Macaca fascicularis: one gene and its partner. The protein of the gene in region 1 interacts with the protein of each later gene in a biochemical or structural test. Links are inferred from orthologs where the notes say so. Each region holds a gene or a part of one and is shown in the gene's direction. Other genes may lie near its edges.

Region 1 (9,811 bases):
GCTTTGCTGTTCCTAACGGTATTAAGATTTTTCTTCGGGTTAGCATCTCCTCCTCCTCCTTAGAGCCCATGTTTCCAGGAGCCCTCAATCTAAGTTAAACAACGTACAGTCATGCATTGCTTAACTACAGGGATAAGTTCTGAGAAGTGTGTTGATGGGCAATCCCATCATTATGTGAACATCATAGAGTGTACTTACACAAACATAGATGATATAGCCTACTATACACCTAGGCTATATGGTATACCTAGGTATAACAAGTATACCTGTTTCCAGGCTACAAACCTGTATAAACCATGTTACTATACTGAATACTGCAGGCAAATGTAACACAATGGTATCTGTGTATCTAAACATAGAAAAGGTACAGTAATGATACAATATAAAAGATTTTTTAAAATGGTATACCTATATAGGGCACTCCCCATAAATGGAGTTTGCAAGACTGGAAGTTACTCTGGGTGAGCCAGTGAATGACTGGTGAGTGAATGTGAAGGCCTAGAACATTACTGTGTACTACTGTAGACTTTATAAACACTGTACACTTGGGTTACACTAAATTTATTTTTTAAAAGTTTTCTTCAACAATAAATTAACCTTAGCTTATTATAACTTCACAAACTTTTAAACTTTTTAAAACTTTTTGACTCTTTTGTAATAACACTTAGCTTTAAAACACAAACACACTGAACAGCTGTACAAAAGTATTTTATTTGTGTCCTTATTCTATACACTTTTTTAATTTTTTTTTTTTTTTTTTTTTAAATTTTTGAACGTTTTGGCTAAAAACTAAGACAAACACGTGTTGGCCTACGTCTACCTACACAGGGTCAGGATCATCAACATCACTATCTTCCACCTCCACATCTTGTCCCACCAGAAAGTCTTCAGGTGCAATAACATGCAGGGATCAGTCACCTCTTATGATAACAATGCCTTCTTCTGGAATACCCCCTGAAGGACCTGCCTGAGGCTGTTTTATAGGTTTTTTATGGAAGTAGGAGTATACTCTAAAATAATAATAAAATGTATAGTATAGTAGTTATATAAACCAGTAACATAGTTATCATTATCAATATTATGCACTGGACATAATTGTATTATACTTTTGTATGACTAGCAGCATAAGTTTGTTTACACCAGCATGACCACAGACACGAGTAATGAACTATAAGTAATGTGTCATGCTATGACATTACTATGGCTATAATGTCACTAGCCAATAGGATTTTTTCAGCTTCATTATAATCATATAGGACCACTGCCACATATGACGTCCGTTGGCCAAAAAATCATTATGCAGCACATGACTGTGTGTGTATCCTCATGCATCCTGTTTCCCATCCCTCAAGGATACACTTACCAAGGGCTTTTGAAAGAGAATGTTTACCTGTTCTTCTGAGATGGCTACCAAGCGATGCTCTCTGTTGTACTTTGTGATATGTCATGTGAAGAATGAAACTGGTAGTACATGCATTCTCAATGGAGGCAATAACACCTCCAAATGGGGCAAAAACTGGGGAGAGAAAAATCTTACCCTTTTTACACATAAAGAACAAATATACATACAATACATAAATAGATATACAGTGTATCTGAGGTATTAAAATTTGAGGAGGGCATTAAGAAGTCTAAAAAGGCTCCTTAAAAGAGCAATAATGAAAGAAAAAAAGATTGAGAAACACTATTCTAGACTATAGCAAATACCACAAAAGGCAGAAGAGAATAATGGAAACTTAATTATTGATGTTATCATCAAGCCTATGATGGAAATATGGAGCACTTGTCTGACATATATGTGACCCAGAACATTAAAGTGCTGCTACTTTAGTCCCAGTTTCTGCTAAGCCTCCATGAAAATAGGTCCCAGATATTGCTACACCCAAAATGAGCCAAATAGGATCAGAACCTCATTTAGAACAAGTGAAGAGGAGGTGGGAAATGGATTTTGAAACCCTTGTCCTCTCATCCCCTGGAGAGTATAAAAGGGCCAAAATTGAAGACAGAGTTGGAAGTTAGAGAGTAGTTATTAGGGTGCTGACATGAGGGAGAATGGTAGAGAGTGCTCGAACTCAGAGGGACTTCAAGGAATTTACCTAAATAGTTTTGATATGTATCTGGAAATTTGTAGAGACATATGGACTGGTGACTGAAGCTGACATGAAATTGTGAAGTCAAGCTTCTATCCTTTATTCATGAAAGTTAAAGGAAATGCAAAGTCAAAATTGAAGTGAACTGAGAGAGGTTCAGTTCCCCTCCATCATTCCTCTGCATTTAAACTTTATTACTTAGGATTATTTGGTTGCAAGATAATCCTGCATTTTTTGTCATACAAAAAATGCAGCTGGGACCAGCTTAAATGAAATGGTAATTTACTAGCTCACATAACCAAATCACAGAATGTGAGCGATGGATTGAACCTTGGGAATGACTGAACCCAGAGACATAAACACTGATGAAACTTTCCATCTATTATCAGAAGCTAGGGAAAAGGCGCAGGCAGACAAAAAAGAAAAAAATAATCTCCAAGCAAGTTGGACAAAAATTGATTTTAGACTGGCATCAATATCAGAAGTCCAAATCAGTGGATAAAACACAGAAGTGTTGGGGTAGAAGATATTCAAAATCATGTAATCAATTCACTTCGAAATGCATCTAGCAAAATGGTAGATGGATGTAAATACGGATGAATGGAGAGATGCACATATGTATATTATGATAAACATTCTTTCAACCTTTCTCTATATTTGACATTTTTGTAACAAAATTTTGGGGAAAAATAATCAAGCAGGAGAACTGCATCATGGCTGTAGTAATTAGCCCTTTGTCAAGATTCCAGTCCTAAACTGAAGGTACAGAAAACATGTCTTATACTCCAGGGAAAGGGAGGACTGACAAAAGCTATTCATTTGTACAGAATATGTAAGTATTTATTGAGTTCCCACCTGGCAGCAAGATCAAGGTGTTAAAGGGAAATCAGATATAGACCTGCAGTTATAGCACAAGGTAAGAAGTGACCATCCTTGTTTGGAAATGCAAGGGGAATGACAGGTGAAAATGACTGTGCCACTGATTAAATCAGCTTATATTGGGTATCAGTGCACCACACATCATTTCACATGCCCTGACTTCTCAGACAACCAACTGGGTGATGGCATCCTTACGTGATATAGGAAAATCACATAGAAATATATTTGTGGTGGGTGACAACTTTTGAATTTGCTGTGGTATCTTGAAGTTTAGTTGTTTATCTAAATAGAGATGTCCAATAGGTCCAGAATTCAGGAAAAATCTTGAGTATTCGGAGATTAGAAGTCATCATTATAAAAATGGTATGAGAAACAGAGACCTTGGGTAAGATCATGCAAACAAAGAGTGTACAGTGGAAAGAAATTATTGCTTCTTTCATTTTTTTATCCACTCATCAAACTGTCATTGCGAGTCACTAGAACTGTGAATAAAAAGTGACAGAACGTTTCCAAGAAGTTTGTAACTTCTTGATGGTCAAATCCAATGATCTAGTTGCAATCCCAAATGTGTTTAACATAATTCTGTACAGCATATACTTGGTTGGCTACTTCTTCATTGGAAAGCTCACCTCTGGTGATGTTCCAATTACTATTTTCCTCACTTCCTCCTTTCAGTCTCTTACTGAAACTTAGAATTTGACATTCGCAGGAATCCATCCTTGGTCTTTAAATCTTCATCTCTAACTCCAATTTTCCACAGTTAGGCTTTATGTCAAACGGACTATATAAAGTTCAACAGTTAGTTTAAAACTAAAACTTGTGCTGGTAGTACAACATGAGCAATACTGACCATCTTGGGGACAGATTGATCTAGTTTGTAAGGACCATAATTGCTTTAAACTCTGAGTGTATTTTCTCACGTCCTGAAAATGGTGATGAAAATATTTGATTTTCAAGGAGACTGTTGATGATTCATTTACCAATCTAAAGCACTAGTGCCCCGCACTCGTAATCCATAACTTGAGATGAACACACCAAAGTGTAAATATCTTATCCACCTAATCTGTGTAAAGTTTGTAACACCAAAATATTAACTTCTGTTTTTGATCACTCAGCCTCCATAGTTATTCATGTTGCATGATCTGATTCGCTCTTTTAGAATTTCTCATAGCGTCAGGGACTAGCTCAAAGTAACAGGAGCAACTGCTTCCTTCCATATCCCACATTGAGGAAAACACATTTTGCAAGCCGTCTTAAAGAAACAGGTCAACTTAGTTGAGGGATGAAACTTAAAAGCAAGCTTCGTCACAAAAAACACAGTTCAACACCACCTCGCCCGTCTGCTGGCAGCTCAAAGGAGAGAAAGAGAGGCCAAGACATACTTCACACAGCAGAGACTAAACGCCAGCTTTTATCTTTCCCGCTGGTCCTTAAGGGACCAACCGTGCTGATTTTCCGTCATGTTCCGCGCCACTTCCGTTCGCGCACTTTAATTACGTCAGGCGTCCTCTCTCGCGGTATCATCCGGTTGCTGAGGCCCTGTAATAAAGGTCTCGCGAAATTTGTTCTAGAGGTCCAAGCTTGCTTCTTAGTTTACTCCACCCCACCCCCAACCTGTCCCTCCTTTTCTTTCCAAGTCACAAAATTCTCCCCTTCCCTCCCCCGGAGTTTACGGCCCACCTCCTGTTTCCGATTTCAGCCCGGAACCGGAAGTGTAGTGGGCGGGGCCCAGCGGCGGAAAACGCAGCGGAGCCAGATCCGGACCCGGCTGTGGCCGCTGCCGCTATCCCCGCCACGGATCGCCGGGTAGCAGGACTGCGCGGCTCCAGCCTGAGGGTCGGTCCGGAGGCGGGTGGGCGTGGATCTCACCCGGATTGTCCGGGCGGCACCGCTCCCGGCCCCACCGGGCGCCGCGAGGGATCATGTCTACAGCCTCTGCCGCCTCCTCCTCCTCCTCGTCTTCGGCCGGTGAGATGATCGAAGCCCCTTCTCAAGTCCTCAACTTTGAAGAGATCGACTACAAGGAAATCGAGGTGGAAGAGGTGAGCGAGGCCCTGCATGGAGACGCCGGTACCGGCCCGGCCCGCCCCTGCCTCTGTCTGGTCCCGGCTCTGAAGGTGCCTCCCCGGCCCCTCTAATTCGCGGGACCCTGTGGGGTCCACCCGGGAGACCCAACAGCCTTCACTGACGTGGGAGTGGGGGTTACTCTCTGAGCTCAACTGCTTGGGAGTAGCTGCCTTTTTTCCTGTCTTGAGTACTCTTGCTTTTGGATTTGATATTCCGGTGATAAACAGGAGAATGAACTGGTGAGACAGTGTGGTCCTCCAGTTCTCGTATCTGTAAGTAGTAGTTTCAGCGAAGATCGTAGCCGTTCTGGAGTTTCAGTCCGCTGGACGTGAAGTTCTTAATGGCCAATAATTGTATTATGTTCGACTTCTACTTCAGTATCTGGCATGTAGGGGATGCTCAATAAATGCTTGTTAAATTAGTAGATCATCAAGTCTAATAAAGTGTTTCCCTTAGCATCGAATGGTTCTCAGTTTCTCCGATACCGCACAGCAATACTCGTAATGTTTAAACGCTCGGCTTTCAGTTGGGCTAACGTAGGTGAATTTCACCATAAGTAACACAGACTGGTCTACGATCAAAAGATGTTTCAAGTAGCATATTCTGAAGAGATAACGAATGATCGGTGACAATCAGAATATAACATTAGACTGGAAATCGCTATCAGAAAACCCATATCCTTTCTTTATTCTGCAGTAATTCATTTTAGAACAAGCTATTTCAAAGTGACTTTAAAGTGTTGCTTTTCAGATTAACAGAGAGGTAAATTGGGTTCTAATGACTATAAAATTTAGAAAAGTAAAAGCTGCATATATATTTTTTAAAGAGACTTTAGAACTTGTTAAAAACTTTGGCTGAAAATACTATATCTTACCATTTATTTGCCGTTTTTTTAATTTATTAAGCACTTGCGTTATATATCCCGTGAAAAACCTAGTGAAATATTATAGATTGTCAACAAGTTATGTCTACTTTAAAATTCTAAAATTATTTTTAAGTGTCAGCAAGTTCGAAGTAGTGAGATAACGTTCAACAAATAAATTTTTTTTTCCTGTGCATGTTTTGGAAGAGTAATGGATTACTGAATTATATACTTTTTATCACATAAAGTAACTTTAGAGATCATTGAGAACATCCTCATTTTACAAGATAATATGGTGGGAAAAGCAAGGTCTTTGGAATTAGAGGAAAGTTCAATGTATCAGATATGCCATTATTAGCTGTGTGATTTGGGGCAAGTTTCCTAACCCCTTTGAATTTTAGTTTTAGAAAGGGCTAATAAATTCTGTTTCATCTTATCTGCATAACAGATCTTAGTAGACATTATATGCAAAACACCTACCACAGGGCCTGACACATATTAGGAAACCTAGTTCCAGAGAGGAAATGTGACCTGCTTTAAGGTCACATGGCTAAAAGAAGACCTGTATTTTGAAAAGAGGGGGGAATGTTTTTAAGTTTTTTTTTTTTACATTGAGGCTATGATAAATTCCTTTTCCAGAAGTGGATAGTTGATCCAACTTTCATGGCTAATATTCTTTTTTAAGAATAAAAATTCCATGAGTCAGTATACAAGAATTGCAGTTTTTAAATAAGCGTTTACGTCTCCTCTGTGGTGAATTGCTATGCTTGTAGACTACAAATTGTTATATAATAATAACTTGTGCTTTATGGTCTACCAAATGCTTTCACAAACTTACTTCATTTGGTTCTTACAACCTTAGTTTTTGTATGCTACTTTCTAAAGCTTTTTACATTCTTGATTCATGGAAAAACAAATTACTAAGGAGGTAGTTATCATTTTGATGTTCTTCCCCTAAAGCTATTTCACTTCTGGTTAGGTTTCTGTGTTTCCAAGACCCTTCTCTCAATTTAGATAATGTTTCAATCTTTGTGTGTATGTGGGTGTGCGTGTGTTTAGGACATTTCTGGGGAGTAGGATTTTGTTTTTAGACGAAAATTTGTTTTTAATATTAGGCAGTCATTTGGGTTTTTTGTTTGTTTTATTCCCCTTCATTTTTAATACTCAGTTCATTTTTGCATTAAAGATTGTATTTGGATCTTTCTGATATTGAAAGCATTACATAATTTCCATCATGTTCTTCATTTGCATACATTAAACCAGTGTTACACAATCCAGAGTGAACCAAGGACACTTATTAGCTATTTGTCAACTTAGATTACACTTCCAGTTCAGTTGTAAGATAACAGAGGAAGATGACCAGAAACAAAAACTACTTTATGTTGCTTTCAATATTTTATATTGTATGAGAATATTACCTTCTAAATTAAGAAAATCATATTATGTATTTCTCAATATAATTGAATTGCATTATATCAATATAATTAGAAACTGTAAAAAAAAATAATTCAACCACAGGCCAAATATGCAATCATTTAGTAGATACATATTTCTAAGACATCAGCTGATCTTGCATTTCTAATATTGTAACTCAATAGTATTAGTTTGTCACATCTTAGATTCAGTTCAGTTCAATCAAATTAGGTAAAGTCTCAGCCTCAGAAATCTGCCTAGGTACTTTTTAAAAGTCATTTAGTGTTTACCATCTAGATCTGGCTGTAAAGAATATTGGAATAAAAGAGGGGATGGGTTGCAAGAAGTGTTACACAGGGTGGTATAGTGGAAAGTGTTCTGGACTGAAAATTAGAAAATGTAGATGCTGTACTGATTCTGCCATAATATATTTTTGTAACTTTGAGGAAGTCACCACGTTTTTCTGGGCCTGTGGTTACTTATGTAAACTGAGGGATTAAACAAGATCATTTAAGGTCTTTTCCAGTTCTAAAATGAAAACACATTCATTTTTTCCAGTATTTAACTGTTTTCTACAGTAACCTTAGAAGTTCTTTACGTACAGTGATCATGGTCTCCTGTAGAATTTAGTTGGTGACCAACTAATCCTGGGTTGACCTGGCAAATGATATACCATTTTACAGATCTTGACAAGCAGTCATAGAGTTTGACTTGCCAGAAGCTGCATGCCTAAGTAAATGGTAAAGCTGGGAATTGAATATGAGATTTCTCACTTGTGAGTCAGTTGCCCTTTCCACTGGATTTACAGTGTCACTCAGTACTTTCTGAAGTACTCTATAAACAAACCTAACATGGGAAAGGGGAAACAAAAAACTGATTTCCTTTTTAGTGTACTTGGTCCTGAGCATTTAATGAGCATTCTCATCTGTGCATAATACTCTGAGGTACTATAAAAGATGAATAGGGCTTGGTGCGATGGCTCCCACCTATAATCCCAGTACTTTGGAGGGCCAATGCGGGCAGATCACTTGAGGCCAGGAGTTCAAGACCACCATGGCCAACACAGAGAAACCCTGTCACTGCTAAAAATACAAAAATTAGCTAGGTATGGTGGCACAAGCTTGTAATCCCAGCTACTTGAGTGGCTGAGGCATGAGAATCATTTGAACCCAGTAGGCAGAGGTTGCAGTGAGCTGAGATCACACCACTGCACCCTAGCCTGCACAACAGAGCGAGACTCTGTGTCAAAAAAAAAAAAATAGATGACAGAAGAATCCTAGGATTACCTCCTTAAAATGTCTGACTTAGTATGATATGAGACTGGAGTAAACACAAAACAGTTAACCATAGACCACAGATTTAAAACTGTGAATATAGTGTAAATTAAACACTTAAGCCATAATTTGAAAATAGAGTTAATAACAGAAGGTTCCATTGAGTAGGGACAAGTTTAAAACTAGGTTTTGAATAAGGTGACCATCATGGGTTGGGAAAGTCACTAAGATGAATTTTCTTTGCAGTTGTTCCTCTGCCTGAAGTGCTGTTCCCCCAGAACTTAAAATGACTGACTCCTCACCAATCAAGTCCCACCTCAAATGTTATTAATACTTCCTTAGAGAAGCATTCCCTGAGCAACCTAGATCTTTGTCATTTCTATTATCTTTCATGGTACTTACCAGTAACTGAAATTGTGTCTCTCCTTCAGCAAAATGTAAGGTGCTTTATTCACTTTTGTAACCCCAATGCCCAGAATCTAGAATCTCTATAAATATTTGTTCAATTAGTACATGAAAGTATCACAGCATAATCATAAGAATTAAATGCCTATCTTGTTCTCTTATATTACATGTGATAAAACGAGCTAAGTTACGTGATTTGGCTAAGGCAACACTTACATTAGAAATGAGATCTGAGTCTTGTTTTAATGTCAACTCTATTATAGTTAGCAGATACTTTTGTTTAGCAGGGATAAAAGATGCTGTAAAGGGCCAGATGCTATGAGTAAGCCACGAATGGTAGGTCTTTACTACAGAGTGCTAAAAAGACCCTATTTACAATAGTTGCTTTTGAAAAGGAAGACCCATAATGCTGACCTCAACTATAGTGTAGGAACAAAGCTACTGTATTGGACACATAAAATTACTGCAGCATTTGTATGTATTCTTCAGCCTTGTTAAGGAGACACACAAAGGTTTTGTTTTAAAAGCTAAAATATACTACCAAGAGGAAATATAGATAGAACTTATACAGTTGCATGTATTTTGTAGGTTTAAGTTATAAATATATGGGGAATTGGTATTAGAGAAAAACCTAATTTATAGTGGTCTAAACAAACTGAGTACGTAGATTTGTTAGTCACTATTTAATTATAGATACCTAAAATAAATACATTCTTTGATGTGAAAGTGACCACTGATTTCAGTAGAAATCTGGAATTACTAAAGAGGTAGCTACAGAGATAATTTTTGTATTGTACATGTGTAGCTTAAAAGATAGCATG
Region 2 (9,637 bases), on another chromosome or scaffold:
GCCGGGAGTCGTGGCCCGGAGCGGGCCTTGGAGTCGGCGCCCAGGTGGCTCGCGGTGAGTGATGTGCCCAGCGCCTGGGGGTGGGCTAAGGGGAGACTGTGGGCGCCGAGGGTCCCGTCCCCGTGACTTGAACACTTGGCTTCCGAGCCGTCCTGGCCGCAGGGCTTGGGCAAGGGTTGCCTCGGTTTCTCCTAGGGGAGTCCCGGGGTGTAGGTGGGAAGTGAGACGGAAAGGGGGCATCTCGAGGTGGGGGAGGTCCCCGGCAGGAGTGAGCAGTCCTGAGGAGCCTGGGCTTCAGGTCTCAGAGGGGGCAACTCTTTTGGTTTCCTTCCTCTCTGTGGGACTCAGTTTCCCATCTTCACCCTGCCAGAGAGTGGGTGGGTGTAAGTGGGCGAGTCTGCCTGGAGGATCCTACTGCTGCTCTCCGCACCTCTTAGGGGAATCTCCTGCCTCCTGCTTCTCCCTTGTTGGGTGTGAGATCAAAGTTTAAATCCATCCCTTCCCAGACAGCCCACATCAGGACCCGCGAGGCCACATCTCCTGTCTGTTTGCTCTCCTCTGCTTCTCAAGTTGATGGAGCAGCCATCTGGTCCTGCTTTCATCCCAACACACTGAAAAGCCCTCCACCTCAATCCCCCTGGGGAGGGCCTCCTGAAGCTGCATGAGGGCTGGGGGCTGGACCCCTGCTTCTGACTTCGCTCTTTCTGAGCCCTTCCTGCCATGGCCTTGGTTTCCCCATGGGCTGTGACCTGGCCTCCTCCAGGGTCCTTGTTCTACAGAGGGGAAACACCTGCCCTGTCACCCTCCTCTAACCCTTTAGTGAAGAAGACCAGAGTGACATCCCCACCACCTGTACTTGCCTGACCCGATCACTCAGCCATGAGGCTGCTGGGGCCCCTGAGTTTGTTGGCCACTCAAGGCTCCTTTACCTCTCTGCACCCTGGGATCTGAGGCTGGAAGCATCCTCATCCAGCCCACCTCCCTCCTACCCATCGCAGAACCCCTCTGTGACACATGCCCAGTGGTGGGGAGCTTGCTACTGGTGAGGTGGCTTTTCAGTGCCTTGCAGCTCTTGTTTTCTTTAGCTAAAATCTATGGCTTGCAGATTCTACACCTTGGTTCCACCTCTGTCTCCCGGAGCCACGCAGAGCACGTCCATTCTTTCATTCATTCCGGCGATCATCATTCATGCACTGGATGAGACACAAGACAGAGCAATAGGAAAACCAGACAAAACTCCCTGCCCTCATGGAGTGCACATTCTAGAAAGGAATGGACAGCAATGAAATAAGTAAATACACGGCATGGCAGGTGGTGGGAAGTGCTATGAGTAAAACAAAACTGGGAAGCAGGATGGGGTGCTGGGGCTGGGTATTGCATTGTATATAGCACAGCCAGGGAAGGCTTCCCCAAGACCAGGAGAGCTGGGCAAAGTCATAAGGAGTTGAGGGGTGAGCCACGTGAGTATCTGGGGGGCTGGGAGGCTTTGGTTTTCACTCTGAGCATGATGGGAGCACTGGTTTGGAACAGAGGAGTCCCCTGCTCTGACTTGGGGTCTGGCAGGCCCACCTCGCTGTGGGGTGGAGAATGGGTCGTGGGGAGTGAGGTAAGGGCAGAAGGAGAGCCTGGTGAGAGGATCATTGCTGTCATTCTGGGGAGAGACCATGGTGGCTTGCACCATGGCCCAGAGGTAGTTAAAATAATAATTTAAAAAACAAGACATTCAGATTTGAGATATATTTCAAAGGCTGTGTCGATAGGATTTGGGGTGTAAGAGAAAGGTAGAGTCAAATATGATTCTGAGGTTTTGGCTCGAGCTTCTGGAGGTTTGAAGCTGCCATGAACTGAAATGGGAGTTGCTTAGGGGAGATTGAGAGTTTGGTTTTGTGCTTGTGGAGTCTGAGCTGTCCATTAGGCATCAGTGATGAGTAAGCAGTTGGGAAAAGTTAAGGGCGGAGGTTGGAGTTGGAAATAAAACTTTGGGCATTATCACCATATAGCTGGTATTTAAAGCCACAAGAGCAGGTGGTCTCATCTAGGGAGGGAGTGATATGGAGAAGAGAAGGGGTGCTGAGGCCCCCAGTGTTAGGAACCAGCCAAGAAGACAGAAAGAGTGAAAATCAGAGAGTTGGGGTGCCCTGGAGGAAATGAGGAAAATGCCCCAAAGAGGAAGGAGGGAACAAATATGACCAATGCCCCTGGCAGAGCAAGCAGGCTGAGGGCTGAGGATTGAGCAACGGGAGGTCACTGGTGACAGTTTCACTGGAGCTGGATGGGGAACTTGAGGGTGAGGGAGGGGATGGGAGGACTTGGGGACAGCAGTACAGGCAATAGACAAGGGGGTCTGCTATAAAGGGGAGCAGATAAATGGGATTGGAGCCAAATGAAGAAAGTGGGTGTCAAGAGAGGGCTTTACTTTTACAATGGAGAATATAGTGCATTGTGCACTGGTGGGGGGAATTGGTCTCTTAGGAAGAGAAGTTCAGTGCCGGGGAGGGAGAATGCAGGATGGCTGGGGGAGGGTGGGGGCGCTTGGCCCCAGCAGAGACCCGGGATACTTGGGAAGTTGCGCTTCCCTGGGCTTCCCTTCCTCTCCTGTCTGCAAGGGGTCAGTGGACTGAGATTTCAGCACTTAAGCAAAGCATTTGCTCTTGGCCCCAGAGAAACCAGGTTGGCTGTGGTCTCAGGAAGGAAGGAGCTGTCCAAGGCTCAGGCCTGGGCCTGGGTTTCAGGGAGGGCCCTTGTGGGTCGCTCCTTGACCCTCTCTTTCAGCAAGGAAGTGCTCCTTTCTCTACATGGGCCTCACCTTGGGGAGGACAATGGTGTCTTTGAAGTTGTAGTAACTGAAGTAGAGATCAAAAGGCAATGCAGATAGACTAATAGATTTTGCCTGAAGAGGGGAAGCCCGATCAGGTAATAAAGGGGTAAGAGGAAGGATGTGAAGGACAATTTTTAGGAAACAGATAATGAGTGAATATTTTTTCTGTCTCTTTCCCAAGTTAAACTGAAGCAGGAGAAACTGAAGCTAGACATAATGAATAAATTCCCAAGCTGGTGAGCTTCCTGAGCTGGTTAGTGAGGACAGCACTAAGGCCAGGCCCTCCTCTCCGGATGTTTAATATGAGACAGGACAATGCCTGCTCAGAGACAGGGGACTGGCTGAATTGGCCCTCAGGATTCTTTTTGCTCTGAGGTTTCTGGAAGAAGGCCAGGGCAGAGGTGCGGTGATGCAGCTGCTGGGAGGACAGAGCTCCGAGTCACGTGACTTGGGCGGCCCTCCCCTTCCTGGTGCCCACAGAAGCCCGACGTCACTAGCCGGGGTGTGTATGGCTCACACGTAGGCCAGGCTGCCCTAGGCTTGGTGTGCTAGGGAGGGGCCCCTACTTACTTGTGGCCTGTCCCCTCGTGAATGTGTCTCATGTCCCCAGTGGGGTTTTTCAGGGAGGGTCATGGTCTCCAGGATGCACAAGGCTTTGTGCCAGAATTGCCTGGAATTACCTAGTTCTGGAAGGCTGGTTGGCCAACTCTGGCCTCTGGCTTTTCCTTTGGGAATTTCCCTTGAAGGTGGGGTTGGTAGACAGATCCAGGCTCACCAGTCCTGTGCCGCTGGGCTTTTGGTGTTCTGCACAAGGCCCACCCACAGATGCCATGCCTGCTCCCCAAGCCTAATGGGCTTTGATGGGGGAAGAGGGGGTGGTCCAGTCTCTCCCGATGAGGAGGAAAGAGCAAGTGTCCTCCTCGGACATTTTCTGGGTAAGAGGAGCAGGCATTGTCCTGTCTCAGCTTGACTCTCAGCCTTCTTTCATCCCTGGCTGCGCGCATGCTCCCAGGCCTGGGGTGAGATGGGGAGTGCTGACTGTGTCTCTGGGCTGTTTTCTGGGGAGAGTGGGTGGGTGGTTATTTTCCCCAGGACCCTGGCAGGGGTGATGGTGGGGGCTGCTGTCGCGTCCTTGGCTGATGTTTCCACAGCTGAGAACCACTCCAGGGCCAAGCCCAGAGCTTATTCTACCCCCTTTTGGTCCTCTCTTCCCCCGTCCCCCGCCACCCCACCCTCTTGGCTCCTCTGCTTAGAGGTGAGCACGGGGAGGAGACCTCCTTGGCCTGAGAGAACTACCTTAGTTCCTGGATTCCAGTGGCCTGTGCAGGGGGGGGACACTCTCTCTCCCAAGCAGCCAGACACACACATAACCTCATTGCCTCCGTTTCCCCATCTGACCAGCACAGGGCCTCCTGTGCCCCAGCAGCGTTCTGAGAGATTGGAGGTTTTTCCTTTTGCTTACCTTGGCTGCCGTATGAGGATGGTTACAGTGTTCCTCCCACCCCCAGCCCAGGGGATATTTGATTCATGAACATTTCCACGGTGTCTCTGCGGGGGACAGTGCCGTGCCAGGCTCAGGGATGCTAGGACGAGTAAGACCCAGGCTTCCACGTGACCCAGGCAGGGAGAGAGACACATAAACAACCATCAGCAAAGAGGCAAAATCCCCAGGCCGCTTGGCGTCTACTCCCTCGAGTGGCTGGGAATGTCCCTGATTTATAAAAAGAAGCCGACGGCTCTCTTTGTTGTCCATGCCTACACCCTTTCACTTTCGTTTCTTCGAGGCACTGCACCAGCCCTTGTCCACAGACCCCACGACAATCGCAGAACTAACCATGCTGAGAGATTTTCTCAGCTGCTCAGAGATCCTCCCAGGGCTTGAAGCTCCTGGAGGGTTACTTGCCCTCAAATTCCCAGAACCCACAGCAGGTGGCTAACGGTAGCAGCAGCAGCAGTCTGTGCACGGTGGTTTCGAGGGCGTGGGAGGGAGGTGAGGGCCCTAGGGCAAGTGTGTGGGGGAAGTGTTGATGGGGGACAAGGCACGAGAACGCTTGGAAACAACTTAGTTTGCACCGTAATTTTTCACTTAGCCTAGGATAGGACCTTTAGAACAATATTCTGAGTGTACCCCTTGGAGTAGCAGTGTGCAAAACACACAGCAAGGGCTTGGGGCCCCCGTGGGGAACCCAAATGTAAGAGTTAGAGACATGCATTCTGGAGTTGCACACAGCTTGTGTTGAAATCCTGACTCTGCCTGTCTAGCTGTGACATGTCGTACAAATCGCTGAGCCTCTCGGTGCCTCAGTGTCTTCCTCTGTAAAATGGGCAGATCATAGGCACTACTTCAGAGTGGCTGGGAGGGTTCAGTGAATTCACGCAGGAGAGCACTTAGAATGGCGCCTGGTGTGTTGTTTATGCTTAATTAATATTAGCCATTACTGAAACTGCTGTAGCGTGAATCCGGCCAGTGTGGAGTCCCTCTCACCCTGCTTTGAAGAGAATGAATTCCCTGACTGCTCGGAAGATCTCTCTTTCTCTCTCTCTACTTTTTACATTTTTATTATTATTTTTTTGAGACAGGGTCTTGCTCTGTTGCCCAGGCTGGAGTGCAGCCTGCAACCTCTGCCTCCCGGGTTCAAGTGATTCTCCTACCTCAGCCTCCTGAGTAGCTGGGATTACAGGTGCCCACACCACGCCTGGCTAATTTTTGTATTTTTAGTAGAGAAAGGGTTTTACCGTGTTGGCCAGGCTGGTCTGGAACTCCTGATCTCAAGTGACCTTGGGAGATCTCTTGCTCCTCATATTACCTCAAGCCTTTTTAAATGTTTTAAGCCGGAGACCAAGCATGGATGTGGGAGTTAGGGGTCTTGATTTAATTCTTGGTTGCTTCAAACTCTCTGTGGGACCTTGAGGTGTTTCTTGCCTTCTCTGGGTCTCAATTTTCACATCTGTATGGTGGGGAGCTTGGATTGGGTAATGTCTGAGGCTAGAACCATGGCCAACTCGGGTTCTGCTGGGGCTGACTTGCCCTGGCCTTCCCCAGCCACCCCGCGTCTGGCTTCTGGAGAAGTCCTGCACTGACCTTGTTCTCCTCCCCAGGTTGTGAAATGTGCTCGCAGGAGGCTTTTCAGGCACAGAGGAGTCAGCTGGTGGAGCTGCTGGTCTCAGGGTCCCTGGAGGGCTTCGAGAGTGTCCTGGACTGGCTGCTGTCCTGGGAGGTCCTCTCCTGGGAAGACTACGAGGGCATCCACCTCCTGGGCCAGCCTCTCTCCCACTTGGCCAGGCGCCTCCTGGACACCGTCTGGAATAAGGGTACTTGGGCCTGTCAGAAACTTGTCGCTGCTGCCCAGGAAGCCCAGGCCGACAGCCAATCCCCCAAGCTGCATGGCTGCTGGGACCCCCACTCGCTCCACCCAGCCCAAGACCTGCAGAGTCACCGGCCAGCCATTGTCAGGAGGCTCCACAGCCATGTGGAGGGCGTGCTGGACCTGGCACGAGAGCGGGGTTTCGTCAGCCAGTACGAATGTGACGAAATCAGGCTGCCAATCTTCACACCGTCCCAGAGGGTGAGGCACTCCTGCATACATCACAAAGTTCCCAGGAAAGGGGTGCTTAGTCACCAAGACTGATTTGTCCTCATGAAGTCAGCCTGTGGGGTAACTTGGTCTGTGGGATTTCCCCTAAAAAGGTAGCCAGGCAGGTAAAATTTGCTCTTGACTCTTGGCAGGCAACATACAACTTTCTTTCCTTCTTTCTTTTTCCCTCCCCTCCCCTCTCCTCCCCTCCCCTCTCCTCCCTTCCCCTCTCCTCCCCTCCCCTCCCCTCTCCTCCCCTCCCCTACCCTCCCTTCCCCTCTCCTCCCCTCCCCTTCCCTCTCCTCCCCTCCCCTTCCCTCTCCTCCCCTCCCCTCCCCTCCCCTCTCCTCCCCTCCCCTCCCCTCTCCTCCCCTCCCCTCCCCTCTCCTCCCCTCCCCTCCCCTCTCCTCCCCTCCTCTCCTCTTCCTTCCCTTCCCTTCTTTTCCTTTTTGAAGTCTCACTCTGTTACCCAGGCTAGAATGCAGTGGCACAATCATAGCTCACTGTAGCCTTGAATTCCTGCACTCATGATCTTCTGGTCTCTGAGTAGCTGGGACTATGGGTGCTGTACCACCATGCACAGCTTTTTTTTTTTTTTTTTTTTCTTTTAGAGATGGGCTGTTGCTATGTTGCCCAGGCTGGTCTCCAGCTCCTGGTTTTAAGCAATCCTCCCGCCTTGGCCTCCCAAACAGTTGGGATTGCAGGCATGAACCGCTTTGCCTGGCCAACATACCACTTCTGCCGAGAGGAAGTGTGTGGTGGCCAGGGGCTCAGATTCTGAAGCCAGAATGGTGCAGGCTCAAGGTCAACCCTGTGTGATCTCAGGCTTCCCTGTGGAGCCTCTCCAGCCTCAGTCTCTCTTGTTTCAGTTTCCTCATCTATAAAACAATGGTAATAGTCAAATGGTGCCTATCCTATAAGGCTCTTGGGAGGATTCAGTGAGTTAAATTGAGTAATGCTTAGGATAGTGGCTATTACCACTGGCTGCTATTGATTATTTCTGTTATGAGTGATACTCTGTACTTGTACACTTTTGTTTCTGTCTGTTTTAAATTAACAGCACAACAGATCATAACATTGTAGTATGTTGAATCTCTATTTTATAATTAACGTGGCATATTATATACTAATATAGCTTAAATGTTTATGTAGGATTTCTGATATGAAATTGCATTAGATCATAGATGTTCAGAGTTGGGATATAACTGCCCCAAGAAGGTAATGACTCAACAGAGACCAGAAGGTCAGAGAAATGACCACTGAATATTTTTGAAACTCTTTTGTTTTCTTCCAAACAGTGATTCTTAGGGCTCCTGAGAGGCAGACGGAACACTCACTAACATTCCACTTTATAAATCAGGAAACTGAGACCAAGTAAAGTAGTTTGAATAAGCTCACAATAGTTAATGAGAGGGCCAATGCTGGACCAGCTGGCCAACATTGGTCATTGGCTTATTCATCCATCATTCATTTATTCATTCATTTATTCAGCCAGAATCTACTAGGTGCTTCATACATATTTGCTTAAAGTTTGTTGTCTTCATAGAGCTTTGCACATAGTAGGTACTCCATAAATATTTGTGGATGAAATAAATGAGTTATTGAATGAATGATTGAATTAGAATGACACTGCAGTATTAAATTGGGCTGGATTGGGGAACATTTTAGTTTTTATTTTTGTCTGTTTTCCAAAAATGTATGTGGTGTTCATGTGAGTCTGGGTAACCCTAGGTTGAGACTGATGAAATAAACGAATTTGTCTTCAAGGCTGCACTAAAGCTGGCTCATGTGGCTAGGTATTTACAGAGCAGACGTGGTGCAGTCCTCTCTGATTAGTTACACGTACAGAAGATATATTCATTATTGGACTGACCTGTTTCTCTTATAATTTATTAGGGGAATTGAATCAACCCGTCTGAGAAGTTACAAGATTGTGTCTTGTCATCTTTAAAAGTTCAGCAATGTGGTCTGGTACAGATGGTCTGAGGGGTTTGGAGAAGGTAGCCTAGATCCCTAGGGCCCAGAGAAGACAGGATATGAGCAGAGGAAGTACCTCCGAATTGGTGAAGAAAAGAAATGGGATAACTCATGGGTGAAAGAAGAAATCGTGATGGAAATCAGAAAATATTCAGAACCAAAAAATAATGAGAATATTATTTATCAAAATCTATCAGATACAGCTACAGCAGAACATAGGGGGAAATTTACAACCTTAGATGCCTAGATTAGGAAAGAAGAAAGGCATTTATTTATTTATTTGAGATGGGGATCTCACTATGTCATCCAGGCTGCTGGAGTGCGGTGGCACGATCATAAATCACTGAAGTCTCGAACTTCTGGGCTGAAGTGATCCTCCTGCCTCAGCCTTCCAAGCAGGTGGGACACAGGCTGGCACCACCATACTAGGCTAAATTTTTTTTTTTTTGTAGATACGGGGTCTTGCTATGTTGCCCAGACTGGTCTCAAACTCCTGGGCTCAAGTAACCCTCCTCCCTCGGCTTCCCAAAGTGCTGGGATTATAGGCATGAGCCACTGTGCCCATCTAAGGCTGGATTTTAATGAGCTAAGAATTCATCTTAAGAAAGGGCTAAATAGACAGCAAAAGCAAACATTGAAGGCTGGGACTGAGCTGAGTGGGTAGCAGGGATAGGGGGCAACAGATCTGAGGATACTAGGAGATTTTGAAGGGATTGCATTGTCTGAGGTTCAAGCCTTTAGAATCCAGCTCTCTCTGAGCCCCCTTTGAGCTCTGACATTCTGTGACTCTGATTTGGTAGCCTTCCCTTAGTGGCCTTTCTGATTTTATCTGGATGGTGCTTGTGGTATATCCAACCAACATGTCTTCCCAAATGGCCTTTTAATTTCCTATGAAGAAGTAGTTGTCATTGATTGCAGGTTAGGGACAGAAAATGCTGTGGAATGAAACAAAATGCAAGTTAAAGAACTAAATTCCAAAAATAGCCATTGCTACTACTGACTGAGTGAATGCCTACTGTGTGCCAGGCACTGTACCCAGTCCATTCCCTGTATTGTTTTATTTAAGCCCCACAAGGGTGTAGTGTGACTACACTGTTTTTTAACAATGAAGAAACTGCCCAAATCGCCCATCTGGGAAGTGGCCCAGCTAGAATTTGAATCCAGGCCTGTTTTCCTCCAGAGCTTGTGCTATTCTCTGTCTGTCATAAAATGTGGGGGCTTTGTGTGGTAAACTTGCTCAGTTGGGCATAGCAGTTGTTAGGAAACC

The links.
Region 2: the proteins of MAP3K7 (region 1) and NOD2 form a complex in vitro, tested with the Homo sapiens proteins (2 studies listed by BioGRID). The link is inferred for Macaca fascicularis from reciprocal best matches to the Homo sapiens genes MAP3K7 and NOD2.

Annotation. Positions count from the first base shown.
Region 1 is NC_088378.1:84,778,714-84,788,524, forward strand, and holds the start of MAP3K7 (mitogen-activated protein kinase kinase kinase 7), read left to right. Parts: upstream 1-4,683; 5' UTR 4,684-4,891; coding exon 4,892-5,011; intron 5,012-9,811. UniProt on the Homo sapiens protein: Serine/threonine kinase which acts as an essential component of the MAP kinase signal transduction pathway. Plays an important role in the cascades of cellular responses evoked by changes in the environment.
Region 2 is NC_088394.1:46,652,967-46,662,603, forward strand, and holds the start of NOD2 (nucleotide-binding oligomerization domain-containing protein 2), read left to right. Parts: upstream 1-3,572; 5' UTR 3,573-3,668; coding exon 3,669-3,753; intron 3,754-5,917; coding exon 5,918-6,384; intron 6,385-9,637. UniProt on the Homo sapiens protein: Pattern recognition receptor (PRR) that detects bacterial peptidoglycan fragments and other danger signals and plays an important role in gastrointestinal immunity.